Callithrix jacchus: one gene and its partner. The protein of the gene in region 1 purifies or fractionates together with the protein of each later gene. This does not show direct contact. Links are inferred from orthologs where the notes say so. Each region holds a gene or a part of one and is shown in the gene's direction. Other genes may lie near its edges.

Evidence for each region. The genes of interacting proteins can lie anywhere in the genome.
Region 2: the proteins of NFKB2 (region 1) and NFKBIB purify together in Homo sapiens (affinity purification with mass spectrometry; 4 studies listed by BioGRID and IntAct, counting the BioPlex papers as one, with this or other methods). This does not show direct contact. The link is inferred for Callithrix jacchus from reciprocal best matches to the Homo sapiens genes NFKB2 and NFKBIB.

The regions. Positions count from the first base shown.
Region 1 is NC_133513.1:95,385,982-95,393,087, forward strand, and holds the start of NFKB2 (nuclear factor NF-kappa-B p100 subunit), read left to right. Parts: upstream 1-2,886; 5' UTR 2,887-3,168; intron 3,169-3,341; exon of another isoform or gene 3,342-3,456; intron 3,457-4,212; 5' UTR 4,213-4,284; coding exon 4,285-4,305; intron 4,306-4,578; coding exon 4,579-4,660; intron 4,661-4,776; coding exon 4,777-4,817; intron 4,818-5,119; coding exon 5,120-5,218; intron 5,219-5,298; coding exon 5,299-5,450; intron 5,451-5,698; coding exon 5,699-5,805; intron 5,806-5,892; coding exon 5,893-6,051; intron 6,052-6,248; coding exon 6,249-6,449; intron 6,450-6,576; coding exon 6,577-6,662; intron 6,663-6,743; coding exon 6,744-6,882; intron 6,883-7,089; coding exon 7,090-7,106. UniProt on the Homo sapiens protein: NF-kappa-B is a pleiotropic transcription factor present in almost all cell types and is the endpoint of a series of signal transduction events that are initiated by a vast array of stimuli related to many biological processes such as inflammation, immunity, differentiation, cell growth, tumorigenesis and apoptosis.
Region 2 is NC_133523.1:34,459,842-34,467,134, forward strand, and holds the start of NFKBIB (NF-kappa-B inhibitor beta), read left to right. Parts: upstream 1-2,551; 5' UTR 2,552-2,644; coding exon 2,645-2,823; intron 2,824-4,445; coding exon 4,446-4,551; intron 4,552-4,633; coding exon 4,634-4,967; intron 4,968-6,172; coding exon 6,173-6,261; intron 6,262-6,348; coding exon 6,349-6,609; intron 6,610-7,293. Other genes in the region: SIRT2 (NAD-dependent protein deacetylase sirtuin-2), read right to left, coding at 994-1,040, 2,116-2,131. UniProt on the Homo sapiens protein: Inhibits NF-kappa-B by complexing with and trapping it in the cytoplasm.

The DNA.
Region 1 (7,106 bases):
ACGGATGGCTGAGGAAAACCTGAAAAAAGCAGGACAGCCTGTTACTATGAGCAACTTGATGGTAGTGATGATGGCAGTTATCACCATTGCAGTGAGTATTCCTGTAGTAGGGGCAGGAGTGGGAGGAAATTTCATATCGGGCATACATTCCTTTCCCTCCTTTATTGCGACATATGACTTGACTAGATCCCACAAGTTAGTAGATGTATATACTAATAACAGCTCATGGATGCCAGAACCTATAGATAACTGGGGCCCGTCTCGCCTTCAAGAGGAGAGAACAGTTATGAATATCTCCTTGGGATTTGAGCATCTATTTATTTGCTTGGGAAAAGCCAACAGTTGCCTACTTCCCAGCCATCAGTCTTGGCTGGTGATAGTGCTTGAATGTCATCACTCTGTGGCACAATTACATATGCTTTCTGGTCCTAGTATTTATTATAATGATTATGCTCCTGTAATCAAAGTTTACCACCCTCAAAAACCTATCTGTAAAGTGGATTGGACATGGTCTGAAAAAATGAATGTATTTTCCTGGGAAGACTGTATCACAGGGCAGGCAGAGGTGTTGCATAGTGATTCATATGGAGTCATTATTGACTGGTCCCCTAAAGAGGCATTTATGAGGCCCACCTCTCAGTCTGTAGGTATTGGTCACCCTGCATCTAAACAAAATGATCAGAGGGTGGAAACCATAAGAAGTACAGCAAAAGTTCCTATTATCTGGGCATAATGGTGGTATAGTGGAACCTCAACTTCAAATGATATGGCCAGTTGTAGAAGCCAAACATAAGGAGTTATGGAAAATATTAATGGCACTGAAAAAGGTAAAGATTTGGGAAGGAAAACACACTAAGCCAACCCAATATAATTTTAATTACATGTTAGAATTGGTTCACAATTATACAGTCTGGATATAGAGTTGCATCCACCCCCTTTCCTGCTTGTGATGGGCGATTTAAAACTTGATCTCCCTAATAATCATGTGACTTGATTTGTCAAGAATGTAGATTGTTTTCTTGTGTGAATTCTTCCTTGTATAATACTGATTATTCCATTTTAGTGGTAAGAGCCCAAGAAGGAGTATGGATATCTGTGAAGCTTTCCCATCCTTGGGAGTCCTCTCCTTCTGTGCCTATTATTACTGAAATTCTTCAAAAGATCTTGAGGCACTCTTGGTGTTTCATTGCTACTTTAATCATTATGGGACCGATTGCTGTCCCAGCTACTGCTGCAGTAGCTGGAGTTGCTTTACGTTCAACAGTGCAAACAGCAGACCAGCAGACTATGTAAATACATGGGAGAAAATTCTGCTCTGCTGTGGAATTCTCAAACTAAAATAGATCAGAACATAGCTAATCAGATTAATAACCTCCGACAAACTGTCGTATGGTTGGGAGATTGAGTAATGAGTTTAGAATATAGAGTGCAACTGAAATGTGATTGGGATACTTCTGTTTTCTGTGTTACTCCTCATCTTTATAATGAGTCAGAACATGAATGGGAAAGAGTTAAGAGACAGTTAAAGGCTCATGCTGACCAGAGAGGTCCATCTACATACTCAGTGTTTGGTGAATTCCTCTCCTGACCTTGCTGCCTCTAGAAGTGTTCAGGTGGAAATTGGGAGGTATATAAGAGGCAATGTGGCAGGAGACGGTGGCTCACGTCTGTGAGCCAAAATAGGACCACTTCAGTCCAGGAGTTTAAGACCAGCCTGGGCAACATAGTGAGATCCATCTCTACTAAAAATTTAAAAATTCACCAGGTGTGATGGTGTGCACCTGCAGTCCCAGCTACTCGGGAGGGTGAGAGGATCGCTGGACCCTGGAGTTCAAGGTTGCAGTGAGCCATGATCAGTCCACTGTACCCCAGCCTGGGTGATAGAGCAAGATCCTGTCTCAAAACATAAATAAATAAATAAATAAATAAATAAATAAATAAAATAGGCCGTGCATGGTGGCTCACGACTGTAATCCCAGCATTCTGGAAGGTGGAGGCCAGCGGATAACCTGAGGTCAGAGTTCGAGACCAGCCTGGCCAACGTGGTGAGAGAAACCACAAGGAAAATCCAATCTACTAAAAATATATAAATTAGCCAGGCATGGTGGCGGGCGCCCACTCGGGAGTCTGCAGCAGGAGAATGATTTGAACCTGGGAGGCGGAAGTTGCAGTGAGCCGAGATCGCCTCACTGCACTGCAGCCTGACACTAAAACAAGAGGCAATTTCCCACAGCAGTGGAAGTTTGAGCTGTGTAAACTCCGGATGCCTTTTCAGTTCTAATAATCCAGATCTCCGTGCTGAATAAACACTTCATTTCCCTTCTCCTGCGCAGAGCTCCTGAGTTGTGGCCCTTTGGGAACCTGCCACCTTTTAAAGTGTCCAAGGTTGGGACTGTCTCTCTGGGAGCCCTGAGGCTGATGAAACCGAGCGAGAGGGGTCCGTGCCGTTCAGTCTCCTCAAGGCCCCAGGGAGGCCACCAGAGGGCACCGCCGGGACCGACCGCAAGAGCAACTTCCTTCCTCTTGCGCTAACTTCCCGGCAGCCGGCAGCTAGCCGCTCCGGGCAGGGGCCGCCGGCTTCCCCCTGGAGTTCCCCAGCTTCAGAGAAAGCCAAGCTTCAGGCGCAGCGAACGCTGAGCAGGAGCAGAAGCTCCGGCCTGCCCGGGGTGGCGCTGGGTCGGCGGGTGCCTTCTCGGGGGTCCCCGGCCGTGCTTGCGCCTGGTGGCCAGTCACCCAGCTCCTCGCCCTGAGCGAGCCCGACCCCTCCGGGCACGCCCGAGTCGCTCCGGGTTGGCTGCACCAGCTCAGAGTTAAACTTTCAGCCAATGAAAAAGGGCATGGGGCATGACACACGGAAACGTCATGGGAATTCCCCCTCGGGGGTTCGAGAAGGGGCTTTCCCGGCCCCGAGCCCTGTTGGCTGGCGAGGTGTCTTGGTCGGTCCCAGGTGGGTCGGGCGCGGAGAGAAGCCGGAACCGGAGCTGCCGCCGCCACGGTGAGTGGCTGGGTTCAGACCCCTGGGTGGCCGGGACAAGAGAAGAGCGGGAGGAGGGCCCTTAGTGGACAGCGCCGGGGCTGGAGAGCAGCAGCTGCACACATCCAGAGAGGACGCGCAGGCGACGACACTCGGATCCACGTCGACACCCTCGTACAAAGACACGCGGACCCGTACGTACACCTGCGCCTGTGCTGGCGCACACACATGCACTCGGAGACGCGCCCGCCAGTGCACTGGTACCTGCACCCACACCCTCCATGCACAAACTCAAGATACACTCACCTGTGCCTGTACATTAAGACAGGCGCTGACCCGCACCCACAGTGAGAATCTCGGGACTCACCTGTGGACACATATGCTCGCTTGCACACTCATGTTGACGCCATGCACACACAACATGCACCCAAGCACTACAGCTGAAACTTGCAGAGTTGTGATGGAGACACACGCTCGTATTGGGTGGGAAGCGTGCAGAGGTTTCGCTGTTGCCTGCGCGCCCAGAGCCAGTGCGGTGTGGGACCAGCAGCTGTTGTGAGGTTTGGGAAAGAAAAGAGGAGCCTATCCCAAGGAGGAGACACTTTTCCCGCGGCCCCAGAATCGCGTTTTTGGGGCAGAACCCCAGGGCCTCCCCCGGGAGAGCCCCCGCCTACAGGCAGTTCGAAGAGGCCTCAGGAATGTCCCCCCAAAAGCCCCCGGGGTTTATCAGCCTCCCTCATGACAGAAAATCCCAAGGTTGCTCCAGACCATGGGAGGGGAGCGGGAAGCGGACTTGGCCCCAGACTGCCAGCCTCCCCAGGCTGTGAAGGACCCTCCTGTTCCCTTTCCTGGAGGGAGGAGGGAGCTTAACTCCCACTGGAGCTTCCTGGATTCTCCTCGCCCTCTGCCCCCAGCTCTTCAGCGGGCACCAACTGACCGGCGAGGACCTCTAGCCCCTCCCGTCGTGAGGGCGGGGAAAGTGGCGTCATTTCCAGGCCCGCCCCCTCCGGCCCCGCCTCCCCCTGGTATTTTCGGGACTTTCCTAAGCTGCTCTAACTTTCCTGCCCCTTCCCCGGCCAAGCCCAACTCCGGATCTCACTCTCCACCGGATCTCACCCGCCACACCCGGACAGGCGTCTGGAGGAGATCGGACCCTCCCCCAAATCTGGGCCCCCATCTTCCGCCCACCCCCACTGTAGATCTGACCCCCTCCCCTCCACCACTCCTCCCAACTTTAGGCTGGCGCCTAAAATTCTGGGAAGCAGAACCTGGCCGGAGCCACTAGACAGAGCCGGGCCTAGCCCAGAGACATGGAGAGTTGCTACAACCCAGTGAGTCACGCCGCCTGGCCCCGACCCGGCCGGCTTCCCCCCCTCGCCCCCCCCCCCGTGTCTGTCCACCGGTCTACTGGAGCCCCCTCTGCTGCCTTACACCTGCATGCTCACAGGTGCCAGTCTGTCCATCTGTCTGCAACTCTGCTTCCAAAAGGAGCTTTCTCTTATGCCTGAGGAGGAGGGGCGAGTGACCACTGAGGACTTGGAGATGGGAGGTGGGGCGTGGGGCACTGAGAGTCAGATGCCACCCCCAGTCTCTCACCAAACCAGGGTCTGGATGGTATTATTGACTATGATGATTTCAAATTGAACTCCTCCATTGTGGAACCCAAGGAGCCAGCACCAGAGACAGGTCAGTAAGTTCACTAACCTCCTCTAGTCCTAAAGGAAGGGGGAGGGAGAGCATGTGCCCTCTGCCTGGGGGAGGGGCTTGGAGATCGTGGCTCAGCTAGGTCTCTCTGTCCCCAGCTGATGGCCCCTACCTGGTGATAGTGGAACAGCCTAAGCAGGTGAGTGAGCAAAAGGGAGAGTGTGGAATGCTTTCAGCTTTGGGGACAAATGGGGTAGTTGTAGCTAGCTGCAAGCAGTGACCATCTAATCCCCTGTGGCCTCCTTGGACAAGGACATGGAGGGGTCCTTGTCCAAGGAGGCCACAGGGGATTAGATGGTCACTGCTGCTGATCATTGGGCTGTGGTTGTGGGTCAGGGCAGATACTACCAGGCACTGTGGTCACTGCTGGCCAGGGTATGGCTGGCTGGTGGAGGAGGGGTCTTCCCTGATCAGAATGTCACTCTGCCCTTGGACCTTCAGAGAGGCTTCCGATTTCGATATGGCTGTGAAGGCCCCTCCCATGGAGGGCTGCCTGGTGCCTCCAGTGAGAAGGGCCGGAAGACCTATCCCACTGTCAAGGTGAGCCAGGATGGTGCTGGAGGGTGGGCTGAGTGGACAGCACACCCAAGACCATGACTGACAGTCCCCGCCCCTCCTAGATCTGTAACTATGAGGGACCAGCCAAGATCGAAGTGGACCTGGTAACACACAGTGACCCACCTCGTGCTCATGCCCACAGTCTGGTGGGCAAGCAGTGCTCGGAGCTGGGGGTCTGTGCCGTTTCTGTAGGGCCCAAGGACATGACTGCCCAGTAAGTGCCCTCTACCCCTGACCCCCATGGGATTGCCCCACATTGCCTGCCAGTCCTAGGCCCCAGCCCACCTCTGTGAGCTTAGCATCTTACCAAGGGGAGAGCCTTAGGTTGGTCCCCAAACCCAAGGGCCCAAGTAAAATCTACAATGGCTTCCTTGAAGAGGCTGAGCTGAGCCCTGGCAATGGGGAAGATGCCTCAGGAAGGAAGAGCTGCATGGGCCAAGGCCTCTGATTCCCCCTTCTCAGATTTAACAACTTGGGTGTCCTGCATGTGACCAAGAAGAACATGATGGAGATTATGATACAAAAACTTCAGAGGCAGCGGCTCCGCTCCAGGCCCCAGGGCCTTACAGGTATGGGTGCAGGCGGGTCATGGGAGGTGCTCATGGAAGGAGCAGGGAGAGAGAAGCCCAGGTGTCACACATGTGCCCACTGCCCAGAGGCTGAGCGGCGGGAGCTGGAGCAGGAGGCCAAAGAACTGAAGAAGGTGATGGACCTGAGTATCGTCCGGCTGCGCTTCTCTGCCTTCCTTCGAGCCAGTGATGGCTCCTTCTCTCTGCCCCTGAAGCCAGTCATCTCCCAGCCCATCCATGACAGCAGTGAGTATCCTGACTGCCTAGGGTGCCAGGCCTGGTGGCAGAGGTAGCATGAGGGGTGACCTCAAGCTGTGGAGTCAAATAGGCCTGGGTTTCAGAACCTGGCCCTGTCACATATGAGCCGAGTGATCTTGAGCAAGTCATTTTCCCTCCTGAAGCTTCTGTTTTTAGTAAATGCATACATTGGGTGGTTCCTGCAGCACCTGGGTTGCTGAGACAACGAATACAAAGCACTCAGCTCCTTAAATGTGGCCATGGCTTTGGCATCATCTCAGCTAATCCATATCCCACCCCAGAGTCTCCGGGGGCATCAAACCTGAAGATTTCTCGAATGGACAAAACAGCAGGCTCTGTTCGGGGTGGAGATGAAGTTTACCTGCTTTGTGACAAGGTGCAGAAAGGTGAGACTGGAGCCCAGGCTGGGCGCCACGGACATCCAGTGGACAACTGAGGCCAGGGAAGCTCTTGGGTAAATGGCCCCAGAGATTTGCACCAGGAGCTGCGGCCAAGCCTCCATTTTCCTTGTAGATGACATTGAGGTTCGGTTCTATGAGGATGATGAGAATGGATGGCAGGCCTTTGGGGACTTCTCTCCCACAGATGTGCACAAACAGGTACCCAGGGCTAGGGCCCCGGCTGGGGGCTGAATTAGGCTAAGGACTCACTGACACCCTGTGTCTCCCTGCACCCCTCAGTATGCCATTGTGTTCCGGACACCCCCCTATCACAAGATGAAGATTGAGCGGCCTGTAACCGTGTTCCTGCAACTAAAGCGCAAGCGAGGCGGGGACGTGTCTGATTCCAAACAGTTCACCTATTACCCGCTGGTGGAAGGTGGAGCTGGGCTGAGGACCCCTGGGGGATGGCGGGGGGCCAGGCTGGGCTAGAAGAGGGTCTAGATGTGGGAGTGCATGAGCCAAGCCAGGAGTGTGGAAGCTCCCAGGGGGCGCTTCCTAGGAACCAGCCTGAGGGTTCTTCTGGGAAGGGCCCCTGAGGCATGATACAATAATTGGGCTCAATCTCATTTTCCTCTGTCCCCAGACAAGGAAGAGGTGCAG
Region 2 (7,293 bases), on another chromosome or scaffold:
ATGCTGTGTCTGATGGCTAGACCAGCCTGCAGACTCCTCCAGGGACTGGTCTGGCTGGAATCTTCTTTGACCCAGAAACTTTTCTCTGTGCTCCCACAGTGCCCTGAGTTTCTTTCTTTTTATTCCTTTTTTTTTTTTTTTTGAGACAGGGTCTTGCTCTGTCACCCAGGTTGGAGTGTAATGTCACAATCATGGCACACCACGGCCTCAACCTCCTGGGCTTAAGCAATCCTCCCCCCACTCAGCCTCCTGAGTAGCTGGCACTACAGGCATGAAACACTACACATGGCTAATTTCTAAATTTTTTATAGAGATGGGGGCCACCTATGTTGGCCAGACTGGTCTGAAACTCCCGGGCTCAAGCGATCCTCCTACCCTAGCCTCGCAAAGTAATGGAATTACAAGCATGAGCCACTGTGTCGGGCCCTGAGTTACTTTCTTTCTTTCTTTTTTACTTCTTAGAGAAAGGGTCTTGCTCTTTTACCCAGGGTGGAGTGTCACTATGCAATCATAGCTCACTGCAGCCTCAAACTCCTGGACTCAAGTGACCCTCATGCCTTAGCCTCCTGAGTTATTAGGATTACAGGTATAAGCCACTGCACCTGCCTCCCCCGCCCGTACCCTGAGTTCCTTTCATCATCAGGCTGTCGGATCATTTTTCCCATTACTTGTCCATGAGATCTGTGTGTTCCAAGACCAAATGGGACACCTGTCTCTTCCAGGCCCAGGACAAATTTGGTTTAGAAGGGATGGGAGGCAGTGGCAAGGAAGGAGGAGAGTTTGGGAGGGCAAGCCTGGACTCGAGACTGCAAACTCTTCTGTGACAATCCCCAGAATCTGCCTGTCCCCATAAAGCTGCCCTGGGTGGCGTGAGGATTGGGACAATGAGCCAAGGGCCCTGGGGTGACTGTCTCTCCTTTGCCACCTCCCCCCAGCATGGGATGTGGAACAAGTCCATGTCTCTCCTCCCCTCCACCATTTCCCCCATCTCACCTGAGCCTCCTGCACCTTCCCTGCCTGGGTCTCCAGAGGGTGAGAGGCTGGGGGAGGGGAGCAGAGGTGGTTACAGTAGGGAGAACGATTAAGGGGGGAACACAAGGGTTCAAATTGTCAGTGAGGGGGCAAGAACACCCACCAACCTAGTTACACTGGGACGGGGTGGTGGTAAAATTGGAGCAGAGGGAAAGAGGGGATGGGAGAAAATATCTTATCCGCATGCAAAGTGGTGCCCGGGGAGGTGATTAGTGAGGGGCAGAGAGGCTGGGGAGGAAGATTTAGGAGGACAGGGAGAAGTAGGGGCTTTTGCCCAGGCTGGTCTTGAACTCCTGGGCTCAATCGATCCAACCACCTTGGCCTCCCAAAGTACTGGGATTACAGGCATGAGCCATTGTGTCTGGCCCTGACTTTCTTTGTCTTTTACTTTTTAGAGAAAGGGCCTGGCTCATGTCACCCAGGCTGGAGTGCAATGGTGCGATCATAGCTCACTGCAGCCTCAAACTCCTGGGCTCAAGCGATCCTCCTTCCTCCTGCCTAGGGGATTCAGGGCATGAAGGAACACTCAGGAGGAGTTAGGAAGGACGCAGCAGTGTGAGTGTGTGTGCGGGAGGGTTAGGTTTACAAGGCAGAGGGAAGTTTAGAAAGGAAGGGAGAAGGGAGGGGACGCTTCGGCTGGGAGGCAGGTCTGGGAGGGAGGTGCAGTGGTGCAGTGGAGGCGGTAGGTTTGGGAGAGGCGCGGATACGAAGGGAAGCCATAGGAGGGGACAACAGGGGTCCCTCAGCATCCTCCGGTTGCCTCTAACAATTAGGTACCCTTAGCAACAGGGACCGCGGCAACTTAGGTTCTTTGCAGCGAGGGTCCTCAGCAACCAAGATACGAAAAACACGCCATTATTGGCAACTTGGCAAGCGGATGTGATAAACCAACCCCGAACAACCTGCGACCCAGAAACCCACCAGCCTAGCGATACAGATCGCTTAGCAACAACCCTCAGAATCCCACTATCCGAAGCGCTCCCTACTTCCCGCCCCGCAGCGGCCGCCCTCGGGCCCCGGGGCCTGCAGCCTTCAGCTAGGCCCCGGCGCGGCCCGACCCTCCCACCCGGGTCCCCGACTCACGGTCTGGCTCTGCCATGGGCACGGTGCTGAAGCCCTCGTGGCTGTCACCGATCGCTCTGTCCCGTCACCAACCACTGTGTCCCGTCACCGACTGCTCTGTCCTGTCACCGACTGCTCTGTCCCGTGACGGCACCAGAAATGGGAGTGGCCGGGATAGGGCTTAGAACTACAACTCCCAGTAGCCATTGCGGCAGAAGCCGCGCTTTCGTACGACAGCCAGAGCGCCCCAGACTTAGGTAAGAAAGCGCGCTAGGGCCGGACTTCGAGTCCCAGAAGGCGCGGCGTCAGCAGCCATGTTGGTAAAGGGCGCCCGGAAAATGTAAAAACGGCTAGTGAGTCGTAGTCCTCCCAAATACTCTGATTGGTCACGATATGGTACCAGGGTAGGGCGCGAGCGATTCAGCATATTATCATTGGATGAATTAGGGGGCGTGGTGGGGAATTTCCCGCAGGGCGGAAGCGCCAGAACTGCCGGCAAAGCCCAGCTCCAGGCAAGCGACTGCGGGGGGCCCCTGAGGTGGCGGGGGCCATGGCTGGGGTCGCGTGCTTGGGAAAAGCTGCCGACGCAGATGAATGGTGCGACAGCGGCCTGGGCTCCCTGGGTCCGGACGCAGCGGCCCCCGGAGGACCGGGCTTGGTCGCAGAGCTGGGCCCGGGGCTGTCGTGGGCGCCCCTTGTCTTCGGCTACGTCACTGAGGATGGGGACACGTGAGTGAACCTTAGGTTGCCAAACGGAGCCCTAGGACCCGGCGTCTGATTCCCCATTAGTTTCTGATCCCTGAGGCTTCCTAACCTCCTACTCCTAAATCTGATTTCCGATGCTGAACTTCCTGACCTGTAACCCCTGAGTCCTAACTTTTAACAAAACCAATCTTCTATCCAGCTGTGATGCTAACCCAATCATTTCAGACCTTCCTTTCTTGAACTATGATTCTCAGCTCCTGGAATCCACATTCTGTCCACGGATACCCAAACCCGACTCCAGTCCTGAGGCTTTTGTTAGAACTGTGGCTTCTCCTGACTTCGAACCTCCAAATATAATCTTTGATTCTTAGTTCCTGATGTGAGCCTTAGACTGATTTCCGAAATTAATACTTGGTCCCTGACTCTAAGATCTTGTTTTCTGAGCAGTGTTCTTCAAGTCTTAAAAGAGTGAGAATGTAAGTTCTCCTATGTTGAATTCCTAATTGAAGTAGAAAAATAGAAAAAGAAAAAAGAATGTAAGCTCCATGAAACCAAGGATTCATCTGTTGAACAAATATTCTTTACATATTACCACATTCCAGGCTTCGTTTTAGGTGCTAGTGATAAAGGCAGTGAAGAAAACAGACAAAAAACTAAAGCCCTTGTGAAGGAGACGTTTTATTTTAGTGGGGCTAAACAGATTGATAAGACAGCAAGGAAGGAAAGAAACAGAAAGACAGAAAGAAACAAAGACATGCAGAAAGAAAGACACAGAAAGTAAGAGAAGGAAAGAAAGTCACAGGTTGTCAGTACTTTGGAGAAAAATAAAGCAGGAAAATGAGGCAATAGATAAACAAGATAAGAGCATTTCAGGCAGAAGGAACTGCAATTGCAAAGGCCCAGATGAGGGACTGTACTGGGTTTTTTTGTCTGTTGTGTTTACTGCCCTATGCCCAGTGATGCAGGCAGTGCCTGTCCCAGGAAGCAGTTAATAAATACTGATCTTACCAAAGAACCAGCTTTAGGTTTATTAATTTTTGTTAATTAATTTGGTTTCATTAATTTTATTTTAGTTTTCAATTGGTCTTTGATTCTTAGCTCACTCCAAAGTGTGAGCTACTGCGCCTGGCCAACAACTCTGTCCTGTGACTCTTGCAAGCCTGGTCTCTACAGACTCTTCCTCCATGTCCATCTCCTGACCTCAGACAACCTGATGGGCTCTGCTTGGGGTCCCCTCTCTCAACCGTGGCTCTCAAGACCATAAGCTGTGGCAGTCAAGTGTAGGGCCCACCTCATGTTTCCTGTCTTTCGGGGGCCACTGTGATTCATTGCATGACGTCCAGCGTCTTCAACACTGTTGCTTCATATACCGTATTGCGTCTGATTTTTCTTTGTTTCTTGTGGGAGGGAAGTCTGGTCCATGTTACTTCATTTTGGGCAGAAGTGGAAATCCCACTGAATAAACATTGTTGGTTCCACAAATTTGCTGATGAAACTCTGACCTCTCTGACCCTCCCAGATAGCTGACAGTGGGTTCCAGAACTGTGGTCCCAAAGCCTAGCATACAGTAGCCACCCCATGTTTGTTGAATGAAGGAATGCAAGAGGACTTGAATTTTGCCCTCTGACCCCAGTCTTTGTCCCCAGGGCACTGCATTTGGCTGTGATTCATCAGCACGAACCCTTCCTGGATTTTCTTCTAGGCTTCTCAGCCGGCACTGAGTACATGGACCTGCAGAATGACCTAGGCCAGGTGAGCCACGAGGGGATGGAGTAGGGGTTGGGGTCTGGGGTTCCCAGTGTGACTCCCTACTGCCTGTCCTCTGCTTCTGCAGACGGCCCTGCACCTGGCAGCCATCCTGGGGGAGGCATCCACGGTGGAGAAGCTGTATGCAGCAGGCGCTGGGCTGTGCGTGGCAGAGCGTGGGGGCCACACGGCGCTACACCTGGCCTGCCGTGTGGGGGCACTTGCCTGTGCCCGTGCCCTGCTTCAGCCCCGCCCTCGGCGGCCCAGGGAAGCCCCGGACACCTACCTCGCTCATGGCCCAGACCACAATCCCGACACCAACCATACCCCTGTCACCTTGTACCCCGATTCTGACTTGGAGAAGGAAGAAGAGGAGAGTGAGGAGGAGTGGAAGCTACAGCTGGAGGCTGAAAACTATGAGGGTGAGGGTCGCCACCAGGGAAGGACTGAGCTCCCAGGCTAGGTGAGAGCACCTGGCCCTGGGCTCTCTTCCCTGATTCCAGACCGAACTCCTTGGGAAATCACGCCTAGGCTTCAGGAACCCAGGCATCGGGACCAGGGACCTCCACTCAGGGCCCAGATGATTGACAATTGGATATGTAAGACCCAGGATTCCCACTTGGAGGCCCCAGATCACTTGGGACGCAGACCTGGCACTCATAGACCCAGAGCTGCCAGGATCCAGTTGCTGGGCCCTTGGGCTCCCCACCTGCAGGGTGTATTCAAGCTGGTATCCCTACCCCACCTAGGACCAGGGAATGCAGAGCTCAGGCCCTCTGGGAAACTCTGGCACCCCAGGTTCCCAGTGATGGGCAGCAGGGACAGCCCTCCTCTGCCTCATGGGAAAAAGGAGTCACCTGCCCACAGCCTGGCATCCAAGTTTCTGCTCCCTCACCTATAAGCCTGCCCACCTGGTACCAGACCCCTCCTCAGATGGACTGAGGTCGTTCAGGACCCATTGTTAAGGGCCTGCATCTCACCCCCAGATCACAGGCTTTTCAGCCACTTGGTAGCCCCCCCTTTTTTTTTTTTTTTTTTTTTTTTTTTTGAGTCGGAGTCCCACTCTCCACCAGGCTGGAGTGCAGTGGTGTGATTTCAGCTCACTGCACCCTCCACCTCCTGGGTTCAAGCAATTCTCCTGCCTCAGCCTCCGGAGTAGCTGGGACTATAGGTGCCTGCCACCACACCCGGCTAATTTGTGGATTTACTAGAGATGGAGTTTCACCATGTTGGCCAGGATGGTCTCGATCTCCTGACCTTGTGATCTGCCTGCTTTGGCCTCTCAAAGTGTTGGGATTACAGGCATGAGCCAGCGCACCAGCTCAGGTCCTTTGTGAATTAAGAGCAGAGACTTAGGTCTCCTGGCCCCAACATCCCAGCCCCCCATCCACAGACCCCAGGCTCTTCACCCATGAGCCCCAGGCTTCTCAAAGCCCAGGCTCTAGCACTTGCCGGCAAGCTAAGGCCATCCGACACACACATTTAGGACCCAGGTACCTCTTTGACATACCCAAAGGTTCAGGAACCAGCCCCACACCTGATCACCCTCAGGCCACGTGGTCCTCCCCCAGGATCAAAGCATGGGGGACCCCTCACCCCATCATCTGATGCGTCACTCTGTCCCCAGGCCACACCCCACTCCACGTGGCTGTTATCCACAAAGATGCAGAGATGGTCCAGCTGCTCCGAGATGCCGGAGCTGACCTCAACAAACCGGTGAGCACCACCCTGGGGGAAGCTGCTGTCGTCAGGAGGGGGCTGGTCCCCTCCTTGGGCCCTCTGACCCTTCTGCTGCACCCACAGGAGCCCACGTGTGGCCGGAGCCCCCTGCACTTGGCAGTGGAGGCCCAGGCGGCCGATGTACTAGAGCTTCTCCTGAGGGCAGGTGCCAACCCTGCTGCCCACATGTACGGTGGCTGCACTCCCCTGGGCAGTGCCATGCTCCGGCCCAACCCCATCCTTGCCCGCCTCCTCCGTCAACACGGAGCCCCTGAGCCTGAGGACGAGGACGACAGACCCGGCCCCTGGAGCAGCAGTAGCGACAGCGACAGCGGAGATGAGGGCGTGAGTCAGGAGGCGAGACAGGGCTGCCCAGCTGGGGGGTCAGGGTAGACCGGCAGGCAGGAAGCAGGAGAAGATAATTAGGTGCACGTGGAGACCGACCTTGGGCTGCTGCTGCTGGAGAACTCAGGCAGGTGGCAGCACCAGTGACATGGGGCACTAGTAAGAACAGACCTGGGTGGGGCGGTGGGAAGAGCTTGGGCAGACGTGGCTGAAAAGCTAAGGTGGTGGCAAAAGTAGAACTCAGCCAGAGTTGGAGAAAAGACCTTGGTCATAGTGAACACAGGCAGGGTGGGTGGCAGCGTCGGAGCTGGAGAATTCAGGTTATGAAAAGACAACCTTGGGTGGCAGTGATTTGAACACCAGCAGCGGTAGGGCAGGACCCAAGCCAGAGGTGGGAGAGATGTAGTCAGAGAACCCAGCAATACAGACCTGACCTTGGGCAAGGTGCGGGGCTGAATGACGGGCATGCAGTAATTCGGGTAAAGGCAGAGGGAAGGGGTGGAGGAGGGCCACCTTAGTTGCCAGAATGCTGGAGTGTCGGCTGGGCTAGAGCTCCGACTATAGAAGTAAATTTGAAAATGGAGTTCTGGCTGGGCACAGTGGCTCATGCCTGTAATCCCAGCACATTGGGAAGCCCAGGCAGGTGGATCACCTGGGGTCAGGAGTTCGAGACCAGCCTGACCA